4 linked regions of the Diceros bicornis minor genome follow. The protein of the gene in region 1 interacts with the protein of each later gene in a biochemical or structural test. Links are inferred from orthologs where the notes say so. Each region holds a gene or a part of one and is shown in the gene's direction. Other genes may lie near its edges. The genes, in order: ERBB3, NRG1, SYK and ITK.

Region 1 (7,339 bases):
GCCGGCCCCGTGGCTTAGCGGTTAAGTGCCCGCGCTCCACTGCTGGCGGCCCGGGTTTGGATCCCCGGTGTGCGCTGACGCACCGCTTTTCAGGCCATGCTGAGGCCGTATCCCACATACAGCAACTGGAAGGATGTGCAACTATGACATACAACTATCTACTGGGGCTTTGGGGGAAATAAATAAATAAATAAATAAATAGTTTAAAAAAAATGGTGCTGGAACAACTGTATATACACATGCTAGGGTGGGGCATGTGTATGGGGATTATGGGAGATTATGGGGGAGATTATGGGGATGAGGAAGGAGAGATTACCAAAGGACATGAGGAAACTTTCCCAGGTGATGGATATGTTTGTTATCTTGATTGTGGTTATGGTTATATATGTATGTCAAAACTCAGCAAAGTGTAGACTTTAAATATGTGCAGTTTATTGTGTATCAATTATATCTCAATAAATGTGCTGCAAGCGTGGGGAAGAAAGTCTTTAAAAATATCAAGATCACAAACCATAAGAAGTAAAATCAATTAATTAGATTATACCAAAATTAAGGATTTCTGTTCAATAAATAATATTATTTACAGAGTTAATGATGAAAATTGGGAAGAGATATTTGCAATGTCTAAAGTCAATGAAGGTCTAATATCTGAAATATACAATAAACTGCTGCAAACCAATATAATAAATATGAGAATCCCTATTAAAAAATTGGCAAAGGAAAATGAATAGGCAATTCATAAAAGAGAAAAACCAAAAGTAAGAAAAAGTTTGAGAAGATGCTCAAATATTAAGAATTAAAGAGGGCCGCACGTGGCTTAGCGGTTAAGTGCACGCGCTCCGCTACTGGCGGGCCCGGGTTCAGATCCCCGGCACGCACTGACGCACAGCTTCTCTGGCCATGCTGAGGCTGGATCCCACATACAGCAACTAGAAGAATATGCAACTATGACATACAACTATCTACTGGGGCTTTGGGGAAAAAAATAAAAGGAGGAGGATTGGCAATAGATGTTAGCTCAGAGCTGGTCTTCCTCAGCAAAAAAAAAAGAGGAGGATTAGCATGGATGTTAGCTCAGGGCTGATCTTCCTCACAAAAAAAAAAAAAGAAAAAAAAATTTCGTTAAAAAAAGAATTAAAGAAATACAATGAGATATCATTTTGAATTCATGGCAAATTGAAAAATTGGACACTTGAATAATGTCAAGTATTGACAAGGAAGTGTGGATATAGAAATCCCACTATTGATGATGTGATAGTCCAGAGAGTGTGGAGCTCAATATGCACGAGAAATGATCACAGAACCAAAGGAGACAGGTAGGAGGATATTCTGCAGCATAGCTCGCGATGGCAGGAAGCTGGAGGCAGTCATTGGATAGTGAACAAATAAAGTATAGGGATCTGGCAGTAGTTAGGAGCAAAGGACTAGAAGGCCATGGGGTCAAAGAAGGTTAATTTGTTTTGTTTTATTTTTTTAAGGTGGCAGATAGGACAGCACGTTTGTATGCGAACAGGAATGATCTAGTAGAGAGGAAAATTGATAATAGAGGAGAAAACGGATAATGCAGGAGAAAGGCAAGAAGGAATGGACTGAGGTGTAGCACTGAGGATGGGGGTGGGGGTGAGGGTTGGGGGAGTGACAGTTGGCTTAAAGAGCAGCAAGGACCGTTCATTGTAACAAGACGGAAGTCAAAGTATAGAAGTGAGGATGGAGGTAAATTGGCCAGATTGGTGGTAGAAAGATAAGGATGTTTTCTTTTGATTACTTTTATTTTCACAGTAGAATAAGAACCCAAGTTATCAGCTAAGAGTAAGGAAAGATAAAGGGATGGTGGATAACTGCAGAGAGCTTTGGTAAATAAAGCCTCTCTCCCTTCCTTTATTCAATCAGGGCAGCACCCAACAGAGACGGCCCCTTACTTGTCGGCTTTATCCAGTGTTTATAACCCTGATGCTTAGCATGATGTATTGAAGAATGGATACCAGCAAGCACACCCTGGGATCTAGTTGGGGAGGGGAGGGGTGGAGTTGGTGATCACAGGAAGAAATACTGCTAGTATTCATGGAATGCTTCTTAAAGGTCAAGCACAATGAGGTAAAGAAGAGCTCTACCTGCTTTTTCTTATGAAATCCAAACAACAAACTTATAAGTAAACACAACTGTTCTACAAACAAGGAAACTAAGGAGGGTTTCCTCCTTCAGAACCAGGGCCTTGAACACTAGTGTGAGGTGGATGAGTAATCAAATGAAAGGCCCCTGAAGTGGTGTTAGCTCAGTTATCTGGTGGGAGTTTGATTCTGAGCAGATGAAGCTCCAGTCTCAGTGGGACATAAGAAATCCTAGGTAGGGGCCGGCGCCGTGGCTCAGCGTTTAAGTGCACGCGCTCCGCTGCTGGCGGCCAGGGTTCGGATCCTCGGCGTGCACGAGGTGCCGCTTCTCCCGCTGTGCTGAGGCCGCGTCCCACATACAGCAACTAGAAGGGTGTGCAGCTATGACATACAGCTATCTACTGGGGCTTTGGGGGAATAAATAAATAAATAAATTTATTTAAAAAAAAAAGAAATCCTAGGCAAAGGGGCCGGCCTGGTGGCGCAAGCGGTTAAGTGCCCCCGCTCCGCTGCCTTGGCTGGGGGTTCGCCAGCTCCGATCCCGGGCGCGCACTGTCGCACTGCTTGTCGAGCCATGCGTCCCATATAAAGTAGAGGAAGATGGACATGGATGTTAGCTCAGGGCCAGTCTTCCTCAGCTAAAAGAGGATTGGCATGGATGTTAGCTCAGGGCTGATCTTCCTCACACACACAAAAAAGAAAACCTAGGTAAAAACCTGCACCCCTTCTCCTGATCATCCACTGTCACCAAGAGGATGACCTTGGCGAAGTCATGCATTTCCAGTTCTGTAAAATGGAGAGTGATGTCACCTAGCTCACATAGTTTTTGTAAGTGAAACATTCTCTAAGTTTGAGGCAACGCTTGCAAGTGAGGTGGTATATGTATGTATATGTTAATGTTTCCTGGTTGCTATTACTATTTCAACTGTTATGCAAGTGGTCAAGGCAAGGCCAACGCCCCAGGGGCAAAGGTAGCCTCCAGCAGAGAATGGGCTTCTAGAGTGCATATCAGTACGGAGAAAGTTTAAAGAATTTTAGCCCGCAGTCTTGGTTCGGAGTGAGAGGCGAAATTTTTCTTCATCGAGGCTTAACTGTTATTGAAGTTTTCAGGCTTGAAACTCTGGGGAAAATAATTAGGCTCTCTGGGCGAGATCCAGAATGCCAATTTAAGAGATTAGAAATGCAACGCCGTGAGGGGCCTCACTGCCGCCCGTTGGGCACCAGAGGGCGCCCGTCGGATCCGTTCGGAGGCCGGCAGGGTTTGGGGCAGCCACTCGCCGTGCACCCGACCACCTCGGGCCAGGATCCAGGAGCTGGTGCTGAGGTGTCAGGGGTCCACGTCATTAGTGGACGCAGTCTCTAGTGCCCCTTCCCCCTTTCCAGCGCGAGCCGAGGCTCGGAAGGCGCCTGGGAAGGTGTGAGCGCCTGTGGTGGGGACGGTGTGCCCATCTGGGTCCGCAGAACAGCGGCGGGAACTCCAGCCGCCCCGACGGCGCGGTCAGACTCCAGCGTGGAAGGGGAGGCAGCTGTTCTCCCAGGCGGCCGTGGGGGGCAGCAGAGGGGACGGCGACAGGTGCGGGAGCCCCTCCCGGGGTGGAAGTGGAAAGGCGGGCTTCGGGGTCTGTTCCCAGGCTGGAAACCACCCCCGCCCCCCAACCAAATCCCCGGGAGAGGCCGGGCCGGCGCCGGTCTGGAGGAGGAAGCGGCCGGAGACAGTGCAATTTCACGCGGCCTCTGGGGCTCAGGTTCCTCGGCAGGGTGGATGAGTTATGGGGTTTCGAGGGGTTTCCGGGGAAACTGAGGTGGCCTGAGCGTGAGGCAAAAATACCCTCCCCCTCAAAAACACACACAGAGAAAAACATCCACATTCGAAGACAAAATCCCCCAAGTGACCCAACCGGCTAGGGGAGTTGAGTGATTTGGTTAATGGGCGAGGCCAACTTTCCGAGGGCTGGGCTTTCGCGCGCTCTCCCCACCCCCATTACCTTTCTCCTTCGGAGGCATTTGGGGCGTTTGGAATCTTTACGTTCCCTTAGTCCAGCTCCTGAAGAAAATTAGGGGGAGACCCATCCTGGATCTGCTGGGCCAAGTCGCGGGGCAGTGGGGCGTGGGGCGCGCGGGGCGGGCCGTCGGAGGCGGCGGCAATCCCTATCCAGCCTCGCGCCGGAGGGGGCGCGGCCGTGACTCACCCCCTCCCCCTGCCTCCCTCCTCCGCGCTCGCAGACACACACCCTCCCCTGCCATCCCGCCCCGGACTCTGGCTCCGGCTCCGGTTGCAGTGTGTAACCTCCTCTGCCGCCGCTACCAATTCGCTGGCGGCTCAGGTGGCTCCGCTTCGATGTCCTAGTCCAGGGGCCCCCCGGGCCGGATTCGGCTGGGCTCCCCTCACCCTCCGCTAGCGTTATGAGGGCGAACCGGGCTCTGCAGGTGCTGGGCTTCCTTCTCAGCCTGGCCCGGGGCTCCGAGGTGGGCAACTCGCAGGCAGGTAAGCGGCGCGGGAGCACGGGCAGCTCGGACCCTGGGGTCCGAACCGAGGACGCGGAGCCCTGGAGGGCAGGGGCTCCCGCAGTGTGACGCTCGGGGTGCTGACCCTGGGTCCGCTGGGACCACCTGGGCGGGCACTGCGACGCTGGGGTTCTCGGCGTGGTCCGGGCGGGGACGGCATTCCTGGACCACCACCACCTCCTCCTCCCCAGCGCGTCGCTGACCCTCGAATTTGTCTCTCCGGATAGGGCTGGTGCCCAAACAGTTCACACTTATGAGGGGCCCTGCCGGGAGGGGAGCTGGGACCTCCATTCTGCAAACTTGAGGAGGTGATTGGAGGTGGAGAGCTTGGCTGAACGGGGGGGGGGGTGTCTCAGTTTGCTCCCCAATGCCCTGCTCCCCCTGGTTTCAGCACCCGCCAGTTTCGTTGTTTTGCCGACAGGGCGGAGCTATGGAAGGGTTGGAGGGGGTTGTTGTTCTCTGGTGCTGGAAAAACAAGAACGGCACCTCCTCTTCCGTGAGTGGGCCTGCCCTGGGGAGGGCTGAAATTAACCAGAGGGCCACGTCCAGGTAACATCAGGGTGAGAGGCCACGCAGAGACTGACTGCCCTCTTTCCCTCAAAATAATAAAGCTAGTTGGTCCCCGACTTGACCAACCTCTCTTTGTCAAGATCCAGATCAATTCAACGAGTATTTATTGAGCATCTACTATGTACAAGACCCTGGGCCGGGAACTGTAGAGTAAAGGACTTCCAGCCTTCTCTCTGTCTTTTCTCTCCCCAACCCGAGGATCAACAGGGCATCTCTCCCACCTTCTGAGCCTCCTGTCCTGGGGAGTCCTTCCTAGACCCAGCTTCTCACCCACCCCCATTCTGTTTATTGTTTGACTGTCTCTAGGACTCTGGACTAAAGTCAGATTGCTCTTCTATTCCTCCTCCCACTCCCATGCCATATGAGCCCCCTCCCCCTTTGGGGCATCTCTGGGACAATGGACACCTGAGGGGTGCTGGTATTGCTGGCATTGGAGGAATCCTGTTGATCTTTTCCCTTCCCCCCAAGATCTCAGCTTGGGGTTTGTCACAGCCAGGGCCCCTTCCCCAGGGTGGGAGTGGGAGAAACACCTGTGCTTCCCCCACAGTTGCTGGGCCTAAATTTAGACCCTGGGATCTTGAGATGTGAACACTCCCAGCTGGTGGAGGGCGGGGGTCTGGGGACTGGAGTGGGAGGGACCGAGTAGAGTGACTGTATCACTGTCCCATCCAGACCCCTGGAATCTTCAACCAGGAACCCAGGAGTCCCAGATCCTGGCCACCTTCCCATAGGGCGCCAGGAGGCAGGCATGGTTGGGTCTCTTTACCCTTTATCTGGATCCTGCAGCCTCTGGGCATCCGGCCCTGTCTCGGTCCTTCTATAGCCCCTTTGTCCTGGCTGTGATGGGGGTGGGGGATGTTGGAGAGGAGGCCTCTGGTTGAGGAGGGGCTGGAGATTCTTGCTCTGACCCACCCCAGTGCTCTCTACCAAATGAGGGCCTGTGACACTGCCCCTCCCTATGCCCCTGGTCCCTGAGTACAGCAGGGATTTTTATAACTCCCTTCCCCCTGCCTTCCTCCCCAAGCTGCTGGGTTCCTCCTCAGAGGTGTTGTTCTTACTCCCTTCCCGCCCAGGCCCTTTGCTCCCTGTTTGTGTAATACGGACTTTACCCTCAGGGTGGCAGGGAACTGGGACCTCTAACACTGTAGCCTTCCAAGCACAGACACCAAGTCTGCCCAAACATATATGGGCAGGTGAGATGGATAGGGTCACCTGAAATACTTCCCATTAAGGAAACCCAAGGACAGAACCAGTCTAGATTTCTGGGCCAGCAAGGGAGCTATGTACATGTTCCTCTGTATGTGTGTGTGTGTCTTGAGTGCGTGCATGTACACATACACACACACCACTTCCTTCTGCAGAAATCTTGGCTCCTCCCTTATCTAGGGAGAAGAGTTGGCGCCTTGACTTGGAAGAGGGGGTGTCCTGCCAGGAAGGGGGTTGGGGTGGGGCTGTTCCAGAAATGACTAACCTTCCTAGCCTCTTTCTTTTCAGCCAAAGGACCCTGGAGTTCCTAGGCTCCTCTGGTTGCTTTACCCCTTTACCCCTCTGCTGGGTCTAGCCCACCCCTTTCCCTTTGTGGGGGAGTGATGGCGAATGAGAGCCCTCAAAAGTCAAGTGGTCAGACTAGGGGTGTATCTAGGAGACATTGGGGCCTCACCAATCTCCCTCCATTTCCACTCCTGCCTCCCACTGAGCTCCACCGCCTCAGGGAAGGGTGGTTGGAACAGGTGGTATCTCCCCCCCAACCCATAGTCTTTCACTGAGCCAGAGGAAAGAGACAGGGATAGGAGTTCAGGGTCCAAGATTTCCCATAGCCCCTATGTTCTCCATACTTACAAGGTAAAGTGAACCCCCAAGACTGACACCCCTCATGAACCTCAAGTCTAGGCACTCCCCCGACGTGAGTGGGGGTTGCCATGTTGGAGGGCTTTTTAATGAATCTCTTCTGACAATGAAATTGAGTGGAAGGCTCAGAATGGGGGGAGTCTGCTGCTGTTTCCCTCCAGGCTTCTTTGTATTTGCTGAAAAATACTCTTGGGCTGGAAAGTGTGATGCTGAGGGAGCTGGAGTGTGTTGGGATAGGGGAAGGGAGTGAGAAGGGAAGCCAGGGTTTAGGAAGGGGGGACAGGGTAGGCAACCAGCTCTTTATCTTC
Region 2 (7,637 bases), on another chromosome or scaffold:
GACGAGTGAGATACAATACAATGGTTTTGTTTTAAGCTATTTCAGGGCGGTTGGTTTCATAGCAATACATAACTGAAATAGTATTCCAGAGAAAATCCTGTAACTGAGACTGTGGAAGAGCTCGTTTAATTTAAAGTCTAAATAGAGATACTTAAATAGCCTATGATTAATCCTTATAACTTTCGCAACTCACTAGGCAAAATCTTAGAAGGCTTTTTTGGAAACTAGGCACCTTTTAAGTGTGTTTACCAGCTACATTAAGGTAATATTGCCTATTTCATTGTTATGCTTTCTGGGTCACTTATTCTCCCCTTGAAGTGGTAGGTGAGGAATACATAATCAAATGCATTCTTTTAATTAAAAAAGAGAAGCAGTATTTTTCAGCAAAAATAGCATGAGTCAGACCTTTGTTCAAATCTTGGCCTGTCACTTAATAGCTGTGTGTCCATGGCTAAGTTACCTAAGCCGCCTGAGTCTGTTTCTTTGTTTTCCAGATAATATGTATTATACAGGATTAGAGAAGATCAGAAATAATGTATGTTAAGAATCTACAGAGTGCCTGGCGCAAAGGTGGAGCTCAATAAATGTAGCTTTTTTTGTATGAAGGAGGTGGTAACGTGGTGTTAAAAAGGCAGTAAAAATATGTCTCTTGTTCATTTTTTAAGGGAACATGGAAATATGGGTTCCTTGAGCTTTATTGGGGTGTAGCCTAAAGGGTTAAAGTGATACATCCTTGCACTTCTTCCTACAAACAGGCATGTTTTATCCAAAGGAAATTTCGATCCCTGTCCCATTCACACTACCCTTCCTCACTTCTTTATTGCTATAGAGAATTTGATAAAGGGATAAAGACAACTTCTGGCTCCTAGTCCAAAGGGTAGAACTATTGGAGAATTCCTTTTATTCTGTACCTCCTGTCCTACTCCCTTTCCTCAATTATTCACTTTCCAATTTGGTGGGAAACAACTTTATAGGATGCTGGCTCTCTGCACTCTGATCTTATCTCCAAGGTGCCACAAGGTTCATGGAGTACATCTCCAAGGAGGACACATGCACATCCCACAGTCTGATTCGTGCAGTCCAGGGGACGGAATGGCTGTGGTGGCCCACAGGATTCTGTCTCTGATGCTTTGGCCTAGTCTTTGTATAATGTGTTATTTTCCTTTGTAGGAAATTACTCAGCACTGTTCTAGTTGTCATATTAAAGATGCGTGTTTCTAATATGACAGCTACAGCAGTGCCCAGTGATTTCTTTGTCTGCTGAATGTGTTTGTTCTTAACAATTATGGTGAGGTGAGTAGTTGTGATTGGTGCAAGTTAAGGACCACTTTTTTTTTTTTTCATGAGGAAGATTGGCTCTGAGCTAACATCTGTTACCAATCTTCTTCTTTTTGCTTGAGGAAGATGGTCCCTGAGCTAACATCTGTGCCAGTCTTCCTCTACTTTGTATATGAGACGCTGCCACAGCATGGCTTGATGAGCAGTGTGTAGGTCTGTGCCGGGGATCAGAACCCACCAACTCCGGGCCGCCAGAGTGGAGCACATGAACTTAACTACTGTGTCACCAGGCCGGCTGCAAGGACCACTTTTTACGTTATTGGTTACTCTTCTTGGTGTCTTCTCTTACCTGCCTGACTTGGGCTACCTGAACCCCATTTTGGTCTTTGAAATTTAGATGACCTTGGCTGTGGATAAAATGCCAGTGGATTATACTTGAGTATAATTTTGGTTTGGGGCAGAATTGAGGAGTTAAGTGCCACATATTTACACCGGGTGATCTCTGAAGGAATTATAAGTTATCCTAATTTAGCGTAAACATTTACTTGTTTATATTGTTTTTGAATATTTACATGAATAGTGATCATTAAAATCTTAATACCTCAGTTGGAATACTGCAAATGCTTCAATATAGATTTTCTATGATATGAAATTTTATGTCCATTGCTAGAATCTTTCAGAAAGCTCTCACTGTTAAAAATAGAAACTAGGCATAGGAATTATTTTAAAATACTGGTGCATAAATGCAGGTTATGTAGAGGTGAACTTCAGGATAACTCATTTTGCCCATAAGCTTGTCATAGTCATAATTATGATTATGCAAATTTGTTCAGGCTTTTGTTGTTGTTAGTTACAGTACTACAAGCACATTTTAAGATATGAATGCCCCCTAAATCATTTATAATTATGGACTAATTTCATTTTGAAAGAAATGATAATATTCTTATCTCATGCCCACTTAAAGCTTAAAAATATTTCAAAGCAGTGGAGATTGTGCTATACAAAATATCATGTGCTTAAAGCAGATTTTTCTCAGGACTTGAGCTCTAAATTTTATTGCTTCTGGGACTCATATGATGGTTATGTAGTATAGATTTAGAGAGAGTTTTTAAGACTCCTGTTGACATAGGTGAGCAAAATGGTTCCTTGGAAACCATTCGGGTGTCCAGTCACAGTAAAGCGTGGATTAAAGGTTACGATGCATATAGTGTGCGCTGACGTGTAACCAACGGGAGGTTTGGGGGACCATGTGCTCTCTATTGAGGACAGTGCACTTCTTCCCAGTATCTTAATGACTGCTATCTTAAAAGGGGGGAAAAAATCAACATTGAAACTATCTGTAAGGTAATGCTACTGAAACCTAACCCAAAAGGCATGCTCTAATAGAAAACTCTTCTTAATACTTTCAGTGTGGTTATAGCTGAGGACATGTGGTATATATTACAGCACTCAGGGAATTCAAACCTCCGCAGTGTGAAGTCACAATGAAGGCTAATTTCAAAAAGAAGTGGTAGCCTTTGCTCCCTTCGTAGCTCTGTTACTTCCCAGGGTTTCTTATTAGCTTGATATTCATCTAGGACTGCTGTGAGTGGCACAGGGAAATGGAAATTTAAAGAGGACCAGAGTGGGGACGTATGAGTCTCTCTCCCCTCCCCTAGCACCCGCCTCCTTCACCATACACTCAGCATTTCACACTGGGCATTACAAAGTCTTACACAATCATTGCAAAAAGGGCCAAAGGCAGAGCTGTCCATGGTTTGAAAGAAATGTTCGAACTGTTGGTTGAAAATCAGGTAATAACAGTCCTGTTGGTGAACAAAACTTACTGGAGGGCTGAGGAAGGAACGCTATCTCTCAGCAGCAGGCAGGAAGTAATTGCTGCTTGAAAAGCTTACCTCTCTAGGGAGGAATCAGATATCAGACTTTGCCAAGCCCCAGGTCCAACCCAGAAGGTCCCACCTACATCCCCAGCCTCAGCCCAGCTTTGTTAGATTGCTAGCATCGATCGCTGCCTTTTCCTGACCCAACAGTGGGTGCAGGAAAGAGAGCCAGCCAGACTGAAAGCAAGCAAGGTGGGGGTGGAAGACTGGGGCCGCTTTTGCAGAGAGAAAAAGAGAAAGAGAAGAAAAAGGGTGGGGGCCATGGGGACCAAGCTTAACTGGTGCCTGCCTGCTTCTCTTTGATTTGATGGCCTTTATTCCTTCTAATTGGATAAAATAGGAAGTCACTGGCAGTCCTGTGTTGCTGGGTATACTGATTTTACTCAGACCAGCCAAGCAGCTCCAGAGTGCGGGTAGAGGGTGGGGGTTGGGAGAGGAGGGAGGAAAAAGAAAGAGAGAGAGTGAGAACGTCTTTGGATGAGGAGGGGAAAGAAAGAGAAAGAGACTATGAAGAAGGGAAGAGCCGCAGAGGAAGAAAGTGAATGAGCGCTCAAGAAGGACAAAGAGGAGTGGTTGCGGGGTGGGGGTGGAGGCAGGGCGGGGAGGGGAGTTACCGCCCCTCCTGGCCGCACTCGTCCCTTCAGATCCCTCTGTGATGATACTGTTTGCAGTGATGCTCGGAGGGCAGGCACCTGCTGCTCTGTAATGATTCAGCCTCTTTCAGCCGTCGCGTTAACACAACAGGATGCTGTTGCTACTGTCGCTGCTGCCTCTCCTGCCGCCGCCGCTGCTGCCGCCGCCGCCGCCGCCGCTGATTCTGCTCTTGCTTTTACTTCTCCTGCATGACAGTTGTTTTCTCCATCTAAGCAGACACCAGCTTCAGATGCTCGAGGTGAGAAACATGCCTTTCAGTTTGGGCTACTGGTTCACTTAATTGACCAACCATCAGCTGGATTTCTATTCTGGCCCCTGCCCTCTTGACTAGCACGGATGGTTTGGAGAAGCATTTAAAAGAACTACTAAAGTGGCCCAGAAACAGCAGTAAAGAATTACCATATACTTTTATTTGGTAGTTGCTAGGGGCTTTTTTTCCTTCCTTCCTCCTGAACTCCTCTTGCTTTTGATAATGGCCTTGGACTTGGACGACTTATCGATTTCCCCATGTAAGATGCTGTATCATTTGGTTGGGGGGGGCCCTGCCTGGTAATGGACCATGAGAGAGGCCAGGCCTTCTGGAGGTGAGCCCATGGAGATCTCTTCCCCAGACATGTCTGGGGTAGCTGCAGAGAGGTGCTCCAGCCCCTCCACTCAGCTGAGTACAGACCCATCTCTTGACGGGCTTCCGGCAGCTGAAGACATGCCAGAGACCCAGACTGAAGATGGGAGAACCTCCGGACTCGTGGGCCTGGCAGTTCCCTGCTGTGTCTGCCTGGAAGGCGAGCGCCTGAGAGGTTGCCTCAACTCGGAGAAAATCTGCATTGTCCCCATTCTGGCTTGCCTCGTCAGCCTCTGCCTCTGCATTGCCGGCCTCAAGTGGGTATTTGTGGACAAGATATTTGAGTATGACTCTCCCACTCACCTTGACCCCGGGGGGTTAGGCCAGGACCCTATTATTTCTCTGGATCCAACTGCTGCCTCAGCTGTGTGGGTATCATCTGAGGCATACACTTCACCTGTCTCTAGGGCTCAATCTGACACTGAGGTTCAAGTTACAGTGCAAGTTGACAATGCTGTTGTGTCCTCTGAACCTTCAGCGGTACCCACCCCGAAGAATCGTATTTTTGCCTTTTCTTTCCTGCCGTCCACTGCACCATCCTTCCCGTCACCCACTCGGAGCCCTGAGGTGAGAACACCCAAGTCAGCAACTCAGCCACAAACAACAGAAACTAATCTTCAAACTGCTCCTAAACTTTGTAAGTAGAGAGAGAGATGGTGATGGATAAAAGAAAGGGTGGGTTGGAGATCCTAAAAGGTGTTCTCCAGGGCGTGTAGCTGTTTCCTCTCCTCCTTGTATTTTAATTGCCTGGTTTTGTTGAAGCCTATCATGTGACTGGGATGCTTGGGCTGGCGTTGAAGAGATGAGTAAAAAGATCTTGTAAACTCCTAGTATGAATCAGTGCTCTAACAGAAGCTCGCTCTAGCCAGATGGTTAAATCTGGGGTGGGGGGCCCAAAACTTCAGCGTCTGAGTTAAATTCAATTGATTTCTAATACTTTTTAAAATTAAACGTCAGCCCATCCTGTATTTTTTATATAAATTTGATTTTCACATAGCAGTGAGTCTGATTTTGTGTCTTTCTTTTTCCACCATAGAGTTCCTATCACCTCTCCCCAGCTTTCTGATACCCTGTGCCTCCCAGCCATCCCAAGCTGCCTGTTCTCTTTCTCCATCTCTTCTTCCTGTTCCTTTAACCACTTCTCCCTGCATTTGTGTTTTAATTGGTTCCTCCAAATATTGCATCAAGTCTTTAGACATTTATGATGCTCACCTCTCGCCAGCGTCAGGCTACAGCTGTCCTACCCAGATTGTAGTTTCAGTTTCTGAGCACTTACGAGAGGCAGCTTAATTTTGTTCAGAACACAGAATAATTCTGCATGAAAAGATTTTCCCAGATTAGTTTTGTCTTCTGTAATCAAATGTTTAAATAGCTTCCTTGGCCGTTATTAAAAAGTACAGAATACATTAGTAAGCTACGTCGTTTTTTTAGACATGTGTCATTTCGCCCATCAGATTGCAGCAGTCCAGTTTAATAATCTGTGAGTGAAGAGAGCCCATGCTGTTGAAACAAAACAGAACAATATACTGCTGTTTGTACCTGGTCATTGCAATGCTTTGTAATGGAAAGTTGACAAGGATGAGACCGTGACTAGTCAGATTGTTCTAAACATCAACGTATAACGGAGGAGTTTTCTATAGCTCTTTTTTTTTTTACATTTCTAATTTATTGTTGTTTCTCTATCTTCTATCACTTTTACCATTGATGAATATTTCTTGAGTAGAAAAAAGTAAAAGATCAGAGGATTTGGTTCTTAAAAACGTGTGTAAAATCTCTTAAAGGAGAGTTGAGGATAAGGCTTCTGTGATGAAATACCCCGTTTGCTTCCCTCTAAATGGAAATGAAGAATAAAAAATATCTTTTCCAGACATTATGTTCAGGATGAGGGGGATCCGTGTGTTACAGAAACAGAGAAAAACTTGATTTGGGCTTATGAATCAGGATCATTTTATACACACCAGTTTTAGTGGCAAAGGTTTAAAAAAAAAAAGAGGCTTGTTTTTCAGGTGTAATTAGGGAAGAACGTCCTACTGCTTTGTATCTTTATCAAATCCCTGAAGCATCATTAAAGGTCTGACAGACATCGCTGCATTCACTGCCTCTTCCCACCTGGCAAAGTGACCGGGAAATAATACCCAGATGAAATGACAGGCTATAAAAAGCAAGTCCAAATCCTGCAAAGAGAAGCAAAATTCACTATGCAGACAAGGTTACTTCTTTGTCTTTATCATTTTCAACTTAAGTCTTTAATTAAAATGTGCCTGAATAGGTCTAGTTGTCCAGAAAAAGAAAGAAGACTCTTTGAAAAACTCAACTAAATTCTATAATTCTGTCCGCGGAAAACAAGCAAACAAAGAAATACCCAGCACATTTTCCTGATCTAGGACCATATCAAAAAGTATGTCGTGACGTTTTGAGAAATTATTTTTTAAGGGCAATTCTTCTAGCAAGTGTTTTAATAGATTACACATTCCATATAGTTTCTTTTCTTTTCGTGTTTCCAAGCCAGAGCATTGATTTTCTGGCATTTGCTTTGAGTGGAAAAGATTTACTGCTGCCTAAAAGCATCCTAGGGGCCAGTTCTGGCCAGATGCACAGCTGCAGTGTTCTGAAGTCCATTGGAGAGAAGCCTGGAAAAGCAGTCTGGGAAGTGCTGGTCTCCTGAAAAGTTAGGGGAGAGTGTTGGTTAACACTTTACAGCCTATAGGGTTTTCTGTATGGGAAACTCTGTGTTAATTTTTTGATCTAGTGCCTGAAAACAACAAAAACACTAGTATCCTAAAAATTGTGTTTGTTTTTTTTTTTGGAAAGGGGTTGGTCCAGGGAGCTTTGTTTTCAGAAACTCATAAGTGGTTGTTATTGTTGTTTAACAAGCTTGTAAACATTAACTAAAGGAAAGCAAAAAAAAAAAAAAAGCTTGGAATTAGATTGTCATTTTATAATCTCTTTCACTTTTTTCTTTTCAACTAAGAAAGTATTGCTTAGTCATAGAAAGAACCAGCACTTTCCTTTCATCATGCGTGTTTTTGACATGAACTAAGCTGTCATGGCATATATTTTTAAATGACATGATCATATCTGAGACATGTTCTTCAGTGGTTTCAGGACTTTATTCTCCCTTTTCTATCTGTCTCAGCGTTTTCCGCACATTATGCACAGAGCTGTAGCCTTCAAGGTCATGGTCTGTTGAGGGCTAATTGATT
Region 3 (7,752 bases), on another chromosome or scaffold:
AGAGTGACTACTAATTGGTACAGGATTTCTTTTTGTGGTAAAAAAAAAAAAGTTCTAATATTGATTGTGGTGATGGTTGCACGACTTTGTGAATATACCTAAAATAACTGAATGGCACACTTTAAATGGGTAAGTCATATAACATGTAAATCATATCAAAAAAAAGATGTTAAAATTGAAATGTACTTTTGAAAAAAGAATTAGAAGATCTTGGTGTGCAAAAAGCCATTTGCTTGAAGTGATTTTCATTAAGGCAAAAATAACAGCTTGAACTACCTTCCAATGAAGTAAGTATATTTTTAAGGAGGAGTCTGCTGGGCAAATGCATGGTCACCTGCTGAGATATGAGAAGGGGGAGTGACTTTTGAGCATAGATTTTCCCAACCTTTTTCATCAATCTCCAGTGCTTAGAATTGTGTCTGGCAATGAGAGACACAATAATTGTTAGCTGGCTTGAATTTCACAAAAAATAAGCAATCAGAGGTGCACACAGGAGACCTGACTTGCTCAGAGCCCCGCGCCCAGGAAAGGGCAGCATTTGGAGGATAGCCCACGTTTTCCGACCCCCGGTCCGTGTTCTTACCCCGGGGTTTAGACGCATATGGTCTAAGTTCAAATGCCATCCTTTGTCCTCAAGTAACTTTTCTGTCTTTCTGCTCAAAACCTCGCTGACAGCAGAAAAGGAAGGAAGTCTGCCATTTGTAAGTGAAAGGTCACTTTTATATCCCAGTTGAATTGGTGAGGGAAGCCAGCGTTCTGTGGCATTATGGCAGATAGACAGATGTGACCAGGCGTTGGGAAGCACTGAGATAAAGTAATTCATCTTATGATTCTGTCAGCAATGCCGGTCTATCAAGATTAACTTGCCTTCATAAGACAAGATAGGGTTGAGTCGTTACATTTTGTAAAAGGTACAACTACATTTTAAAATGGTTACAATGGTGAATTTTGTGTTGTGCGAATTTTATCTCAACTTAAAATAATTTGTATAAAAGTACACGTGATGCTGTCCTAACTCTGGAGCTTCCTCCTTTTTGTGCCAATAAAATGTTATGAATTCAATAGTTGGAGTTGAGTATTCTTTTACTTGCAACCTAAAGCATCCTATTGGATATCATGTGTACCCTGTGTATTTTTAATTTGAAAGAGATGAAAACTGAGGACCTTGCACTCTAAATATTAAAATGTACGATATATATTCTATAGGAAAAAAAATGGTGTGGCATTAAATTCTGGATAAAGTGGTGAAATATTCAGGAACTATCTAGAAAAAAAAGAACCTTCCCTCCCCAAGGAAAAAAGGGAAGGGGGAGAAAACAAAAATGTAAAAGTTACCAATAGTAACCAAAAGGAGAAGCACTTAAGGAGGTAAACTTCAAAAAGTGCTGGCTCATATAAAAACCGGAAGTTTGAGAGAATCACGGTGGGGTCATGAGCCCACCTCCCGGAAAACACATCTTGTGAGTCCACGAAATCCTGACAATTCTCACTCAGATCTCAAGAGAAGAAAAAGGAGTAATTGCTAATCCTTAGCTTTTCCCCTTTTTGATGATGGGGTAGTAAAAATGGCTGCGGTGGAGATGAGGGGAAAAAGAGAAATGGCAGCAATCTGGCAATACTCTGTCACGAGTGTGAGGGCTCCAGGGGCCCACAGGAATTGGGAGACTGAGCTGATGTGCAAAGGTCCCCCCAAAAGAGTGTGGTAAGCTCTTCCCTCTCCCTCTGCCATGAGGGGTGAGCCCTCCTAGGTTCAACCCAGTCTCCTGTGGAAGGAGGAGGAGCCCAGTTAGCACAGCAGGACTCCAGCTAAGCCCCGCCTGCTCGAAGGCTGTAGAAAATCAGGCATAGAAGGAGTCATAAGCCCTCAAACTGTAACCCAAAAAGGGAAAAGAAAAAGGATCTGATATAAGGATCCAGGAGCTGTCTCCCACAGAGGAGCAGAGCAAAAAGAAGGTCTGGAGAGAGCTGCCAAGCATGGGAAGGTCAGACAATGAACTTGTAACTATGCTGAAAGGGATAAAGCATCAGCATAAAAAGATAGAGGATAAAGATTCAGAAGGGTTTGTATTTCTCAACAGCAGCACTTGCAGCAAGAAAACAATAGAAAAATGACTTAAAAATTGTGCAGAAAAATAATTTCTGAATTAGAATTCTATACCATCCAAACCATCAATCAAAGTGGAGAGTAGGGGGCCAGCCCGGTGGCTTAGTGGTAAAGTGCGTGCACTCCGCTGCTGGCCAGGGTTCAGATCCTGGCTGCGCACTGACGAACCACCTCTCCGGCCATGCTGGGGCCGCGTCCCACGTACAGCAACTAGAAGGATGTGCAGCTATGACATACAACTATCTACTGGGGCTTTGGGGGAAAAAAAGGAGGAAGATTGGCAATAGATGTTAGCTCAGAGCCGGTCTTCCTCAGCAAAAAAAAAAAAAAGAGGAGGATTAGCACGGATGTTAGCTCAGGGCTGGTCTTCCTCACCAAAAAAAAAGTGAAGAGTAGAACCTTTTTAGATATGGAAGGTCTTTAAAATATCTACTTCCATTTCTCAGGAAACTCCTCGAAATTGTGCTCCACTGAAATGATGGAATAAACTGAGGAAGAGAAAGGCATGGAATACAGGAAACATGGACTCCTAGATACAAGAAAAATGAAAGGAAGGCCAGAGCAGAAGCAGAAGAAATGAATCCTTGAGAAACTGTAACCACAGGTTGACCAAAATTGTCCCCAAATTTCCAGCCCAAATTTGTATCACCTTGATGGTCCAAAAAAACATAAGCTGAGAATCCACCTTAAATTGTCCAAACACTAGTTGCACCCTAGGCTTCTGCCAGAAAACAAAGGCAAATTTCCTCTGAAAGAAAATACCTTTTTCCTAGGCCTCAACGAATCTCCACAAATAATTTTTCAAGGAGGATGAGCGGCTCACAGTTGAATGTAACCAAGAACACAAGGAAGCCAGGCACCATGAACCAGAGCCAGTGGAACACTTGACAACGTAAGCAGACACCAGAGACTTCATATGGTGGAATTAATACAGCAAACCCAGAAAACAAATATATTTATTATTTTTTAAGAAATAATGAATCTACAGGAATGGGAGACTTTAAAAAGTGACTGTGTCAGGAGTCTCCAAGACCATCTGGGTGTGAGGTGCCAGGACTCAGCAGAGTCACAGCTGAGATTTCTTACAGTGAAAGACAAAAAGCAAAGTCTGCAAAGGGAAGCGGCACATGGGCCCAGGAAGAAAGACTGGGAGAAATGTGATGACTTTTAGGAAGATTTTTGTCTAGGTATTTGCGTGATGATTTTAACATTTTTATTTAAAAAATTCATTCCAAGAATACTAATTCACTTTTAAGTGAATTAGTGAGAAGGACCACAGCAGTGCTAGAGGGGGGCTTGGAGATGGATTTAGAACTTCACCTCCTCTCATTAGCCTCCCCTGAGAAACAAGCAATCTTAGCAAACACAGGACGGTCCCCAGGCTCCTACTTCCAACGACACCGCCAGCTCTCAAGGCCTCCGGAATAGAGACATCCGCAGCCTCCGTTCAGAGAACAGTGGCTATTTCGTTGTTGGTTTGAGGCAAAGTCAAGTCCAGTGGTTAACAAATGTAATCATAATAAAAATCCTTCACTTGGGTTAAAAATTTGACGGCAAAATGGCATGGAAGAGAATGTCCAAGTGGGAAAGTGTCAACACTTCTGATGACCTTATTTTTCTCCATGGCAATTATACTAACACACTATACATTTGATTTCGGTTATTGTATTTTGGCTCAGGGTATAGCTTTTTAAAATAGGCACTGCCAACTACTGTTACCAAGAATGTGAGGGTCTAGAAGCTGTTTTATGGGAACATTTTGCAACAGAGCTGTCCAACAGAAAAAAGCGGGAAGGGAAGCAGGTAGGTGTTTTTAAACCATTTTAAGGACTACAGAAAAGGATTAAACTTCATTTATGAGCCCCAGACGTCAGAACCGGTTGTGGGTAGAAGGAAGCACGTTAAACTCACTGTCAAGAGCCTTGTAATCATGAAAGCCCTCAGAACACGGCCGCCTCAGACATTGCTGGGCCCGCCCTGACGTGCCCCGTGAAGTCTGCCGTTCACCTAAGGGAGAGGCCACCTGGCGGATTCCTGGGGCCTCCTGGTCACCGGCCGGCAGGAGCGTCTTGGGTTGGTGACTGGGAATACACAGCACAGTGAACAGGATTCTGTTCCTGGGCAACTACACAGCGAAATGGGCGTGCCCCTGAGTGGCTGTCGGTCCTTAGAAGGATCAGGCTGCAGGCGAGGTGGCGAGAGGTTCCTGTTGGTGACAGGGCCCCTTCCTTGTACAGGACCAGCCTTCTGCACCTGGGAGGAAATCGGAGCGCCCACCAGCTCCTCTCCCCTCTGCACTCGCGCCTCCCGCTTCCCAGGCCCACCCCACGGACCGGGTCCCCGCGCGCTCCGGCCGCCGCTGCCCTGCCCGGGGCGCACGGGACGCTGGGGCACTGGGGGCGCACAGGGCGCTGGGGCCGCTGGGGGCGCTGGGACCATCTGGGCGCTGGGGCGCACGGCGGCGGGGCGGGCCCGGGGCGGCGGGGCGCGGCGGCCGGGAGGAAGTGCGGGGCCTGCCCGGGCGCGTTAAGGAAGTTGCCCAAAATGAGGAAGCGCCGCGCGCTGGGCGGCTGAGGCGACTCCGGCGGCGAGAGAGCGAAGAGGAGCGGACGGCCCCGCGCTGCGCCCCGAGCTGTCCCCGCGGACGCACAGCCCGCCGACCCCGGAGTCCCGCGCCCCGCCCTCGCCACACCTGGCACAGGTAGGAGTGGCCGCGCGCTCCCTCCGCCCGTGAGAACCTGGAGGACCTTTGGGCTGGGGCGGGCGGCGAGGGAGGAGGCGGCGGTCCTCCTCCTGGGCGGGTTTCTGTGCGCCCAGCACACGGGGCAGGTACGCTCAGGGCCTTCGGCCTCTGAAATCAGGGAAATTTTGATGAGATCATTCGGATAAAACGATAGGCTGTGCCAGCTTTTCTCCTAAGCCTAGTGCCTCTCGGGGTTCGGCTCCGGCGCGGGGCGCGGCGGCTGGGGCTGGCCCGCGGACTGTGCGGGCCGGGACTGCGGGAGCCCGGCGAGCGCGCCCAGTGCGGAAGCGGCGGGTCCCGGGAAACGCGAGCGGGCATCCGCGGGCGCAAGAAACTCGTCCCCGAAAGAGCACATTTTCGTTTGGCCGTGCTTTACATAAATCCACTGGAAAACTCCACTGTATTTAGCGAAGTGACTCAATGTAGAAATGTTCGTATGCCTGCAAAGGTTTTTATATACATTTCTTTTCCTACAGAAAAAAAGAGCGGTTGCATAAAAACGTGCAACTCTCTGAACCACTACTAAAATTTACCATGATTCCTCTTTTTTCGGCGCATTTTCATGGTAAAGTAACTTAATTAGCCAGTGAGTGGCTCGGAGAGCAGGAAAGTTTCATGTAGTAAAATGAAAATTTGAGTTAAATATTTTTTTAGCAATATGGCTCCAAAACCTGAAACCCACCTAAATAATCGTACAAATGCTATTCATTTTTTTGGTCGTTTGAATGTTCTAGAACGAGAAAGACAATCATTGGAGAAGTTAGAGTTTGAGTCTTTTTAAGTTGGAAACGGTGTTGCAAATTATTTTCATGAGTTTGCCTGACTCGCCAAAGGTTCCATTGCACCTGGTAAAACTGTTCACTGGAGCAGTCATTCTTTTTCTTAAATCCCCGAAGCATTTCAGCGTGTAGTTTAAAGAGCTGGAGATGTCCCACATCTGAATCTTCACATTAAAAAAAATTAATTATGTGGTGACTGAGAATTTCTGGAAGAAATGGAATTGATTCTAGTATCTGATTTCTTTGTTTTAGTAAGAACAAATTTATTGTTATTACACGGGCAGCATTTTAATTAAATGCAGTTAAATTTATCGATGTGCCCCCACCCCCCAAAAGCCCAGATGGTGCATGGATATACTTGTATTTGAGCTAAAAGATTTTAATACTTGTAGAATATTAGATGTTTTAAGTAAGAAATCTCGGTTGAAATTATTTTATCAAATCATTTTGTTCTATCTATACATTTGATGTATTTAGAGAAATTTTGCAGTAAAATAGAAATTGATTTGTATTATTCTCTGTATTGGGAGTGCTTCGATATGTAAGATTTTATGAATAGTCTTAATAACTAGAATGTTTTTAATGTTTTAATCTGGGATAAAAATGAAGTGTATACTTTAGGTCTTTACCTTTCCTGAAGGATGAAATTGGCAGAAAGATCATTTTGCTAGATTTGCATTTCAGAAATAACTCACCACAGCCTTCTCTAGGCTCATATTTAATATTCCAAGTGTAGGTCTGATTTCTCCGTTTTTAAACCAAAGACTTCTTAGTAGGATACCACTTATGCAGCACATAGCATGTCCATGACCATTATCCAAAATCCTTGTGCTAAGATATGTTTTGGAATTCGGGATTTTTCAGACTTTAGGATTCAAATTTAGAATCTAAATTTCAGCGTTGAGAGGGACGTTTCTCAGAATGCAGAGAGGTGCGCATGCGTCCTGACACCATGTGCGCCATCCGTCTTCAGCGCGGTCTCAGCAGTGCCCTGCCGTCTCACCCGTTAGTGTTTCTGCGCTGACCGTGTGAGTGGTCTCGCTAAGGGGAATAAAGACAGCCTACAAATAGCTGCGTGTCAGCCTAGGGCAAGTGTGGTCACTAAATGAGCTTCCCTAAAACTTACCCCCAAACCCTGTTTTTCAGAGCTTTTTGGAGTTAGGGCCCAGGGACTGAGCCTATTAGATCCCATCGAGCTGCCGTTTGCTTTTGAAAGCGAGTTGCATTTCTGTTGCCAGAAAGTCACACTGTCCAGGGATTAGATGAGCAGTTGCCGCCTTTTCAGGAGCCCTGAAATGGCGAGACCTTCCTGACTTTTCAATGATAGTGGCCCACATGGAGATCCTCCGAGTGAGGATGGATGTCTCATCCTTAAGGAGGTGCTTTCAAACAGGAACCGTACTCACAGGGGGTCTCGTCCCCCCTTACAGCTGCCGTGTGTCCTTGGGAGAAGTACTGTTTCAGAGCCCTGCGGTGGCTCTGTCTGTCAACTGTGCCTGAGGGATGGCGGGCTCTTTTATAATCTGAGCTCATTTTTGCTTCCTCAACTTTCACTGTATAGATTATTTCAATTATCTGCAAACTCACCTCTTCTCTCCCCGTTTGCAAGTTTTAACATTTTCCTCCACTTCTGGATTGGGTTAGCTGTAAATGAGTGGAGAAAAAAATTAGGAATTTTGGCCTTTGGGGAGAATTTTTTTAAAAACAAATGGACATTTGTTTTTCTTTTGAAGCAATTGAAATCAAAAGGCAGAGTCTTAAAGAGAGATTGGAGTTAAACTGACTGACTTAAATTACGTCTGGTCATCTCACTCTTCTACTTTGGATTTGAACAAGTTAGTTCTTTTTCACTTGGAAAAGGAGGTGTTTGTTTTTTGTTTTTTTACTGAGCAATTGTGGGAAGATAAGAAAAAACTAGGCTGATTGGACTTTAAAGGAAGAGTTCATTTCTTCATTTTGATATAATGGCAGAGAAGCTTTCTATTAGCTTATAATTGTGTCTGACCAAATGTTAGCTTGCGTCAATTTGAAATTTTTTTGCCTTTAAGAATTCTGTATGGGGCCGCCCCGGGGCTTAGCGGTTAAGTGCGCGCGCCCCACTACTGGCGGCCCCGGTTCGGATCCTG
Region 4 (7,374 bases), on another chromosome or scaffold:
ATGTTTGGAGTTTTGATTATTGCACTGATCTGGACCAGTCTTTCTTTTTGTTTTCTTAAGTTTTCATTGTGGAAATTTTCAAACATACAGTAACACAAGGAGAATAGAATAAAGAACCTTCACCTACCCATCACTCAACTTCAGCTCACTGACAAATATTTTGTCAACTCATGGACAAGCATTTTTCATCTCTTCCCCTACCTATTTCTCCCCCTCCCCTGGATTATAAGAAAGCAAATATTGGGCATTTTATTATTTTATCCATAATTATTTCAGTAAGTTTCTGTGCATAATAAGGACTCTTTTATTTTTTTTTGTGAGGAGGATCAGCCCTGAGCTAACATCCAATGCCAATCCTCCTCTTTTTTGCTGAGGAAGATTAGCCTTGAGCTAACATCTGTGCCGATCCTTCTCTACTTCATATGGGAAGCTGCCACAGCATGGCCTGACGAGTGGTGCGTCAGTGTGTGCCCGGGATCCGAACCTGCGAACCCGGGCCGCCAAAGCAGAGCGCGCGCACTTAACAGCTGTGCCACCGGGCCGGCCGCCTAGGACTATTTTAACATAACAACAGTGCCATTATCACACCTTAAAAAATCAATAATAATTTAATAATCAAAAATGCAGTGTTCTGATTTCCCAATTGTGTCATAATGTCTTTATACAATTAATTTGTTTGAATCTAAATCCCAACAAAATCATCACATGCTTGATATGTCTGTTAAAGGCTCTTTTAATGTATAGGTTCTCTTTCTGACTCATTTGTTGCAGACACGGGGTCATTTGTCTTGAGCGTTTTCTGTATTCTGGACTTATGTAATTGCATCTTCATGGTGTCATTTGCCATGTTTCTTTATCTCTTGTATTTCCTGCAAACTCGGATTTAGATCTCGAGGTTTGATGAGATTCTTGTTTGATTTTTTTTTTTGGCAAGACTTCTGCGTAGGTGGTTTTGTCTACTTCCTATTGCATTACTTCAGGAGACAGGTAATGTCTCATTGTCTCTCTTTTTGTGACGTTAAGATTGATCCGTGTGACACAGTGTTATTAGTCTAATATGTAAATTATGAATTTTTTTATTTGCTTTTCACATAATGATTTTAGCAGCCATCAATGATCATTGCCTAGATCAATTATGTCATTAGGATTGCAAAATGGCAATTTCTATCACTCCTTCTTCATTTATTAGTTGGAATTCTTCTCTAAAGAAAGACTTCCCCTCATTAAATAGTTGATTATTAAACTGAGATATAATTCTTAAGGAAAAAACAGGAAATATGTTTTATTCTTTTCTTTTGTTTTCCAGTTTTCAGAATAATAAATTGGTTCTCCAGCATCCTCCAAAAGTGATCCATGGGCTGGGTTTTTTTTTTCACGTACCTTATGAACTCATGATTTTAACATTTTGGCTCTTCTTCAATTAATTGCAGTTATTGTTCTTTTTGATGCCTGAATTATTCCATCTTTGGCAACTGAGAGCTTCTTGAATTTGGCTCCTGTGAGTTGGACTTGCACAAACCAAAAAAAAGAGGTTATTTATTTTTATGTATGTTTTCCTGAAAGTGATGGGGGAAATATTGGGCCTCTTAAAGTTATATTTAGGTCAGGGCAAAGACCAGTTGTAGTGAGTGGGCTTGAAGACGCTATGGAGAGAGAATAAAATTACTTATGATCGTACTCTATGGAGACTTGGCAAGTGAAAGGTTCCTATTACAACAGCTACTGATGATATTTTGCTTTCCCAGATGAGAACACTTTGTGAAGTCTGTAAATCTTTTAACCTGAACCAACCAGGTATAAATCTACCCTTCTCAAAGAAGTTTATAGTCTAGTTTGGAATATAGCACTATGTTGTTATAATTCGGTTTGTTGTTAGTAACAGAACTTCAAAATACCAGGGACCTAGAAAATTGAATTTTATTTCCCTCTCTGTGAAAAAAGAAAAAGATGATCTCAGGCTGGCATGGAGGATCCAGGGTCGTCAGGGCCCCCGGCTTTTTCTATCTTACTCTCCATTATCCCCCACCTCATGATATAAGATAGCTGCTCCAGGCCTAACTATCATATCCACATTCTAATCAGTAAGAAGGAAGAAAAACAGAAGGAGATGAGCAAGATGACTACCACTAAGAACACGTCCTAGAAGTTGTGCTCATCACTTCTGCTATGTTACATTGGCTAAAAAACAGTCATATGATTGAAAAATATAGTGTTTATTCTGGCTGGCCAGATGCCCAGATAACCTTCAGGGAGTCAGTTACCCAAGAAGAAGGGGAGAGTAGATATTTTGAGAAAGCAGCAATCCCTGTCTTAAGCGCATATGCAGAAGGAAAAAAGTAGTATATCTTTTGGGCAGTGTACTTTCACACATATGTCTTAAAACCTCAGAATGTGGGAGGGGGAATTATTTAAATATCCCTTCCCCCACCATCCTGAGTGTCTCAATTATGCTAGCACATCTAATATATGAAACAAAATTAAGCTGTAGTCTGGTAATTTACATTAAAAAAAAATTTTAGGTAATTGAACTCCTATATAACAATAGTGGTTGTTTTACTTCGTTTTTTGTCCCTGACCCATATATGCCACCTCTGCTTACACTGCGATTTCTTGGTTATTTACTTCATGCTGGAAATAAGACTCTCATGCTGTACTTTGACTGTGTACTAATTCTAAGACAAGATACATGACTAGCACCCACCGCTCCAGCGTTTATGAGATTCAGTCCTCAAAAGGACCCTCACAAGGATCCTTAGTCTTAAGGATCAGCGAGGATAAGTAGCTTGCTCAAAGAGAAACAGCTTAGTAAGTGACAGAGATGGGATTCCCATATAAGTTTGTCTGTCTTCAGAGCCCATACATGCTTTGTTTTTTATGCCATTCTGAAGGGTTTACATATTTTCTGCTCTTCGACTAAATTTTGGGATAGAAAAGCAATCGTCTGTCTGTAGCACAGAGAAACTTCTATGGGCTTTCATTTAAATTTTGAAAAATAATAAAATTCAATATATTTCTCTTAAGTGTTTTATGGTCATTGTCTCTTTTAATTGTCCAACCCAGTTTGGTGATTATTCATTCAACACATTTTTCTTAAACATCGTTTTTATGTGCCAGCACTGTGATGGTTGCTGAGTATACAATGGTGAGCAAAACCACACAACAGTCCTCACCATCATGGAGCTTCTAGACCAGTGGGGGAGACAAACATTAATCCAAATTCACTCTCCAAAATGTACAATTACAACTGTCATAAGGAATGTATAATTTAGAGTTAACCAGGCAAAATAGGGGAGAAAAGATATTTTCAGATAAGATACGCAGATGTTCAAAGCAGCATAAAGAGCAGGTGCGAAGGCTGGAGTGAGAACTGAGAACGCATGAATGTGGTATGAAATGAGACTGGAAGGAAGCCAGAGAGCAGCCCTGTAGTGCCTTGTGTAGGGGCACTATTATTCCCTTTCACAGATGAAAAAACTGAGGCTCAGAGCTCTTGAGGAATTTGGCAACAGTCTCACAGCTAGTTAGGTGGTGGAGGCAGAATTCAAACTGTGGTAGGTAGAAAAATGGCTCCCCTAAAGGTGTCCATGTCCTAATCCGTGGAATTTGTGAATATGTTAGGTTACATGACAAAGGAAATTAAGGTAGACGATGGAATTAAGGTTGCTAATAAACTGATCTTAAAATATGGGGATTATTTTAGATAATCCAAGCAGGCTCAAGGTAATCTCAAGTGTCCTTAAATATGTAAGAGGGAAGCAGAAGAAGAGGTTACAGTTGTATGGATGAGAGAACTTGACCTGCTGCTGTTGGCTTTGAAGATGGAGGAAGAGGGCCATTAGCCAAGGAATGCAGGTGGTCCTAGAATCTGGAAAGGCCAAGGAAACAGATTCTACCCTAGAGATCCTCCAGAAAGGAACACAGCGCTGCTGACCTCTTGATTTTAGCCCAGTGAGACCCATTTTGGACCTCTGAACTACAGAATTGTGAGATAAATTTGTGAGCCACTAAGTTTGTGATAATTTGTTACAGCAGCAATAGGAAACTAACGCACAAACGATGCCCATTGGCTCCATGGGCCCATGTTCCCACCCTTTGTGCTACGTGCCTTAACTGTTGGTTGGGCTAAACCAGGAACTATAAAGATTAAACTCTAATCCTTCATATCATTTTGAGTTTAAGGTTCTTCATTTTCAAGCCATACAGCAAAGAGTATGTATAATTTTTACATGTGCCTCTTGGTTTTGTGAATTTTGAAAGGATGTGGTTACGGCCTTTGACATCAGAGCAGAGGCTCCGCAATGTTGACTGAACATTGATAGAAAGATAACGTTGGAGGCAAGGTGCCTTTGAACAACTCTCTGAAGATCAACTGCCTCCCCTTCGCATTCCTTGCCCTGAAGCCGTTTCCTCTGGTTGTGCTAAGGGGTGATGCCCTAGGCGCATCACTTTTCAAGAATTGGATCATGAACAACTTTATCCTCCTGGAAGAACAGCTAATTAAAAAATCCCAACAAAAGAGAAGAACTTCTCCCTCCAACTTTAAAGTCCGCTTCTTTGTTTTAACCAAAACCAGCCTGGCATACTTTGAGGATCGTCATGGGGTACGTGAGCACTTTGTTTTGTCTTTTTTTTTAAACAATATTTTGTGTTTAGACTGGGCTGAATCCATGGACTGAAATAAGAAGACAGGGAACACAGACATGCTTGTTATAACACCTAAAAAGTACAATAAGAGTAATCAGAAGAGAAGTGTGCAGAAAAGTCAAGAGATGCGGTGGGTGTGTTAGGCAATTTCAGTTCTAAAAACTGTAAAAGAGTTAAGTTTAGAATTCATTCACTTTTTCCTCTCTGAAAGTTTAATTTTAAAATTATAATATTTCATATGGCAAATGTTATGATTGGATACAATTTGAACTTCATTTAACATATACTACATTTTATATAACATAGATTAATAAAATATTAGCGATCAGTGGGACCTAAGCAGTGATCTAGCCCAGTTTATTTAATTTATAGTGGAAGAAACTGGTACTTAGAATGGTTCAGTGATGGGTCCAGTGTCAACGTTTCTATGAATTTAATTCTGTTTGTCTCAATGTTCACCACTCACCTGATGTCTTGGAATAATATTCCCTGGGCATTTAATTGTCTAAAATTTGCAAGGCACAGTGGTAAACTTCTTCATCCCTTGGAGAACTTCCCAGGAGACTAGAGTTACCATGTACAAAGTGTGATGCAGTACAGACCAGAGGTTCTTATCCAGATGATTACAGAAAAAACTAGGTCAGTCTTTTTATCTAACTAAATATATTCCTATATTCCATAACATCAGTAATAATAAAAGCAACATGAATAATCATGACAATGTAGTTTGGTACAAAAAGCACTGATCGAGGGGTCAGGAGACCAACTCTATTTCTCTCTAGGTGAGTTAGCCGGGGCAAATGTGTCTACCTTCTGTGTCAGGTTCTTTTTTTATAAAATGAAAGGACTGGAAATACCACCTACAACTCTTCTTTCTTCTTTAAAAATCCTTTGTTTCTATTAAATAGCACTTGGTTAACCCTTCTCGCAATTATTCCAAGCATGTTTGACTTCTTCCTATATCATTGTATTGTTTTTCCATCACTAGGATGGAAGGGCAAGGGTTTTCGCCTATATTTATTTTACTGAAGGGGAAATAACACTAGGTGCTTGATGGTCACTTAGAGACAAAGGCGCTTCGAATCCTTATTGGCATCTGACTTAGTAGGTGTAGGCATGAGTTTGGGGTCTTTTGAGAGTCAGGCTTTGAAATATTCAATGAAATGGAGTCCTGAGTGAAGCCAGGCTGGCTATGGAGGCTATGGATGCCTGGCCTTTTAAGCTGCGGGTGAAATAATACTGGCTCTTCTTTGGAGGTGAAAAGATGTGCTCATCTTCAGCAGACTCTTACTGATAACAATCCACCAATCATTCAGAAAGGAAATGGAATTACTCATGGGCAAGGCCTCTTTGGTTGGTGCCCAATAAGTATTTGTTGACTAGTTAATAGAGGGCCAGAGGTTATGTTATGAGCTTGGAGGATTCATCATATAGAGCTGATAATCCACATGACATCAGTCAGTTTTTTCTTTTTGTGAATAAGATATTAGAAGTTCTTGTTTCATATTGAAAGAACAGTCATTTTCCTTTAAACCTTTTTTTTCAAAGCCCATTTTATAGTTTTCACCAATTTGTTGTCCTGACTCAACACAGCATCGTCTCATTTAGTTAGTACTGATCATTCCTGAGCAGCTTTGCTGTTTGTGAACTGTTTGGTTGTGAATTCAGTATCGTATTATTTGCAAATAATCACACAACCAAATGATCTTAATTCAGAATTTTGTTGGTTATAATTTGCACGAAGACAGTGTTGTGAAATCACTTCACTTCTTCATTTGAACATTATGAAAAATTCCAGGACAATTAATTTATTCTGGGGAGCCCTGGGCTATAGTTTTTAAGACTTCCATGTGGGATATAGCAGATGTATGACATACAAACATCAAATTTCTTATTTTCTAATGCCCATAGCTTATATCATAAATAACATTTTTTTAAATCATTTCTTTAGATATTATAGAAATTTATTTGTTAGAAATTTATCCAAGGTCCCTGAGAAAAGTAAGATGTGTGAGTTATTATTGTTTATGTCCTATGTATGTTCCATTGTTTAGGGCCATCAGTTTGCACACAAGAGTGCATTGTGCATTGCCCATAAATAATAATAGCATTACACTTGTGGAAATAAACTTTTTATTTTTAGATTAAAGCCTCAGTCTTCCCATCTATAAAATGGGTGTAATAAAAGTACTTACTTCATGGGAAGATGGTAAAGATTAACAGAGAGAATGTATTTAGACTGAACGATTTGAATTTACCATTTGGTAGATCAAAAAAGGTCAGATATTGCCAATTTCGTATAGTTCAACTTAATATATAAAGTACCTAGCAGAAGTCTGGTCACCTAGTAAAATTGAGCTATTATTTGTATCATCGTAATATCTCTGAAGGAGCGAGCAGGGTGGCATAACACATTTGTTTTCTAATGAAGGGAGACATTAAAGGATTCTTCAAAGTCAGGCTAACGTAAAGCTCCTGGTTCCTTCTGTTCTGTGGCTGAATACAAATCTGTGGGGAGAGGCATACATGCATCATGAGATGCCTGATGCTGGGCCAACCATTGCCCCTCTCAGGGTCTCAGCTTCTTTTTCTCTTTTCTTATTTGTGAAATCATGTTCCTTCAGCTCTAAAATCCTGCGAATTTATGACATCATATGGAAAATAATTCTTCTACCTATTCAGGAACAAATTCTGTACTTCTGCAAATTAAGTATGTTTTTTCTAACTTGA

Evidence for each region.
Region 2: the proteins of ERBB3 (region 1) and NRG1 form a complex in vitro, tested with the Homo sapiens proteins (8 studies listed by BioGRID and IntAct, with this or other methods). The link is inferred for Diceros bicornis minor from reciprocal best matches to the Homo sapiens genes ERBB3 and NRG1.
Region 3: the proteins of ERBB3 (region 1) and SYK form a complex in vitro, tested with the Homo sapiens proteins (2 studies listed by BioGRID and IntAct, with this or other methods). The link is inferred for Diceros bicornis minor from reciprocal best matches to the Homo sapiens genes ERBB3 and SYK.
Region 4: the proteins of ERBB3 (region 1) and ITK form a complex in vitro, tested with the Homo sapiens proteins (2 studies listed by BioGRID and IntAct, with this or other methods). The link is inferred for Diceros bicornis minor from reciprocal best matches to the Homo sapiens genes ERBB3 and ITK.

What each region holds. Positions count from the first base shown.
Region 1 is NC_080756.1:12,681,378-12,688,716, reverse strand, and holds the start of ERBB3 (receptor tyrosine-protein kinase erbB-3), read left to right. Parts: upstream 1-4,288; 5' UTR 4,289-4,511; coding exon 4,512-4,593; intron 4,594-4,840; exon of another isoform or gene 4,841-4,921; intron 4,922-7,339. UniProt on the Homo sapiens protein: Tyrosine-protein kinase that plays an essential role as cell surface receptor for neuregulins.
Region 2 is NC_080768.1:30,156,282-30,163,918, forward strand, and holds the start of NRG1 (pro-neuregulin-1, membrane-bound isoform), read left to right. Parts: upstream 1-4,404; coding exon 4,405-5,071; intron 5,072-7,637. Other genes in the region: uncharacterized LOC128092250 homolog, read left to right, coding at 3,904-4,092. UniProt on the Homo sapiens protein: Direct ligand for ERBB3 and ERBB4 tyrosine kinase receptors. Concomitantly recruits ERBB1 and ERBB2 coreceptors, resulting in ligand-stimulated tyrosine phosphorylation and activation of the ERBB receptors.
Region 3 is NC_080761.1:55,627,883-55,635,634, reverse strand, and holds the start of SYK (tyrosine-protein kinase SYK), read left to right. Parts: upstream 1-4,629; 5' UTR 4,630-4,805; intron 4,806-7,752. UniProt on the Homo sapiens protein: Non-receptor tyrosine kinase which mediates signal transduction downstream of a variety of transmembrane receptors including classical immunoreceptors like the B-cell receptor (BCR).
Region 4 is NC_080740.1:73,163,046-73,170,419, forward strand, and holds the start of ITK (tyrosine-protein kinase ITK/TSK), read left to right. Parts: upstream 1-4,334; 5' UTR 4,335-4,463; coding exon 4,464-4,601; intron 4,602-7,374. UniProt on the Homo sapiens protein: Tyrosine kinase that plays an essential role in regulation of the adaptive immune response. Regulates the development, function and differentiation of conventional T-cells and nonconventional NKT-cells.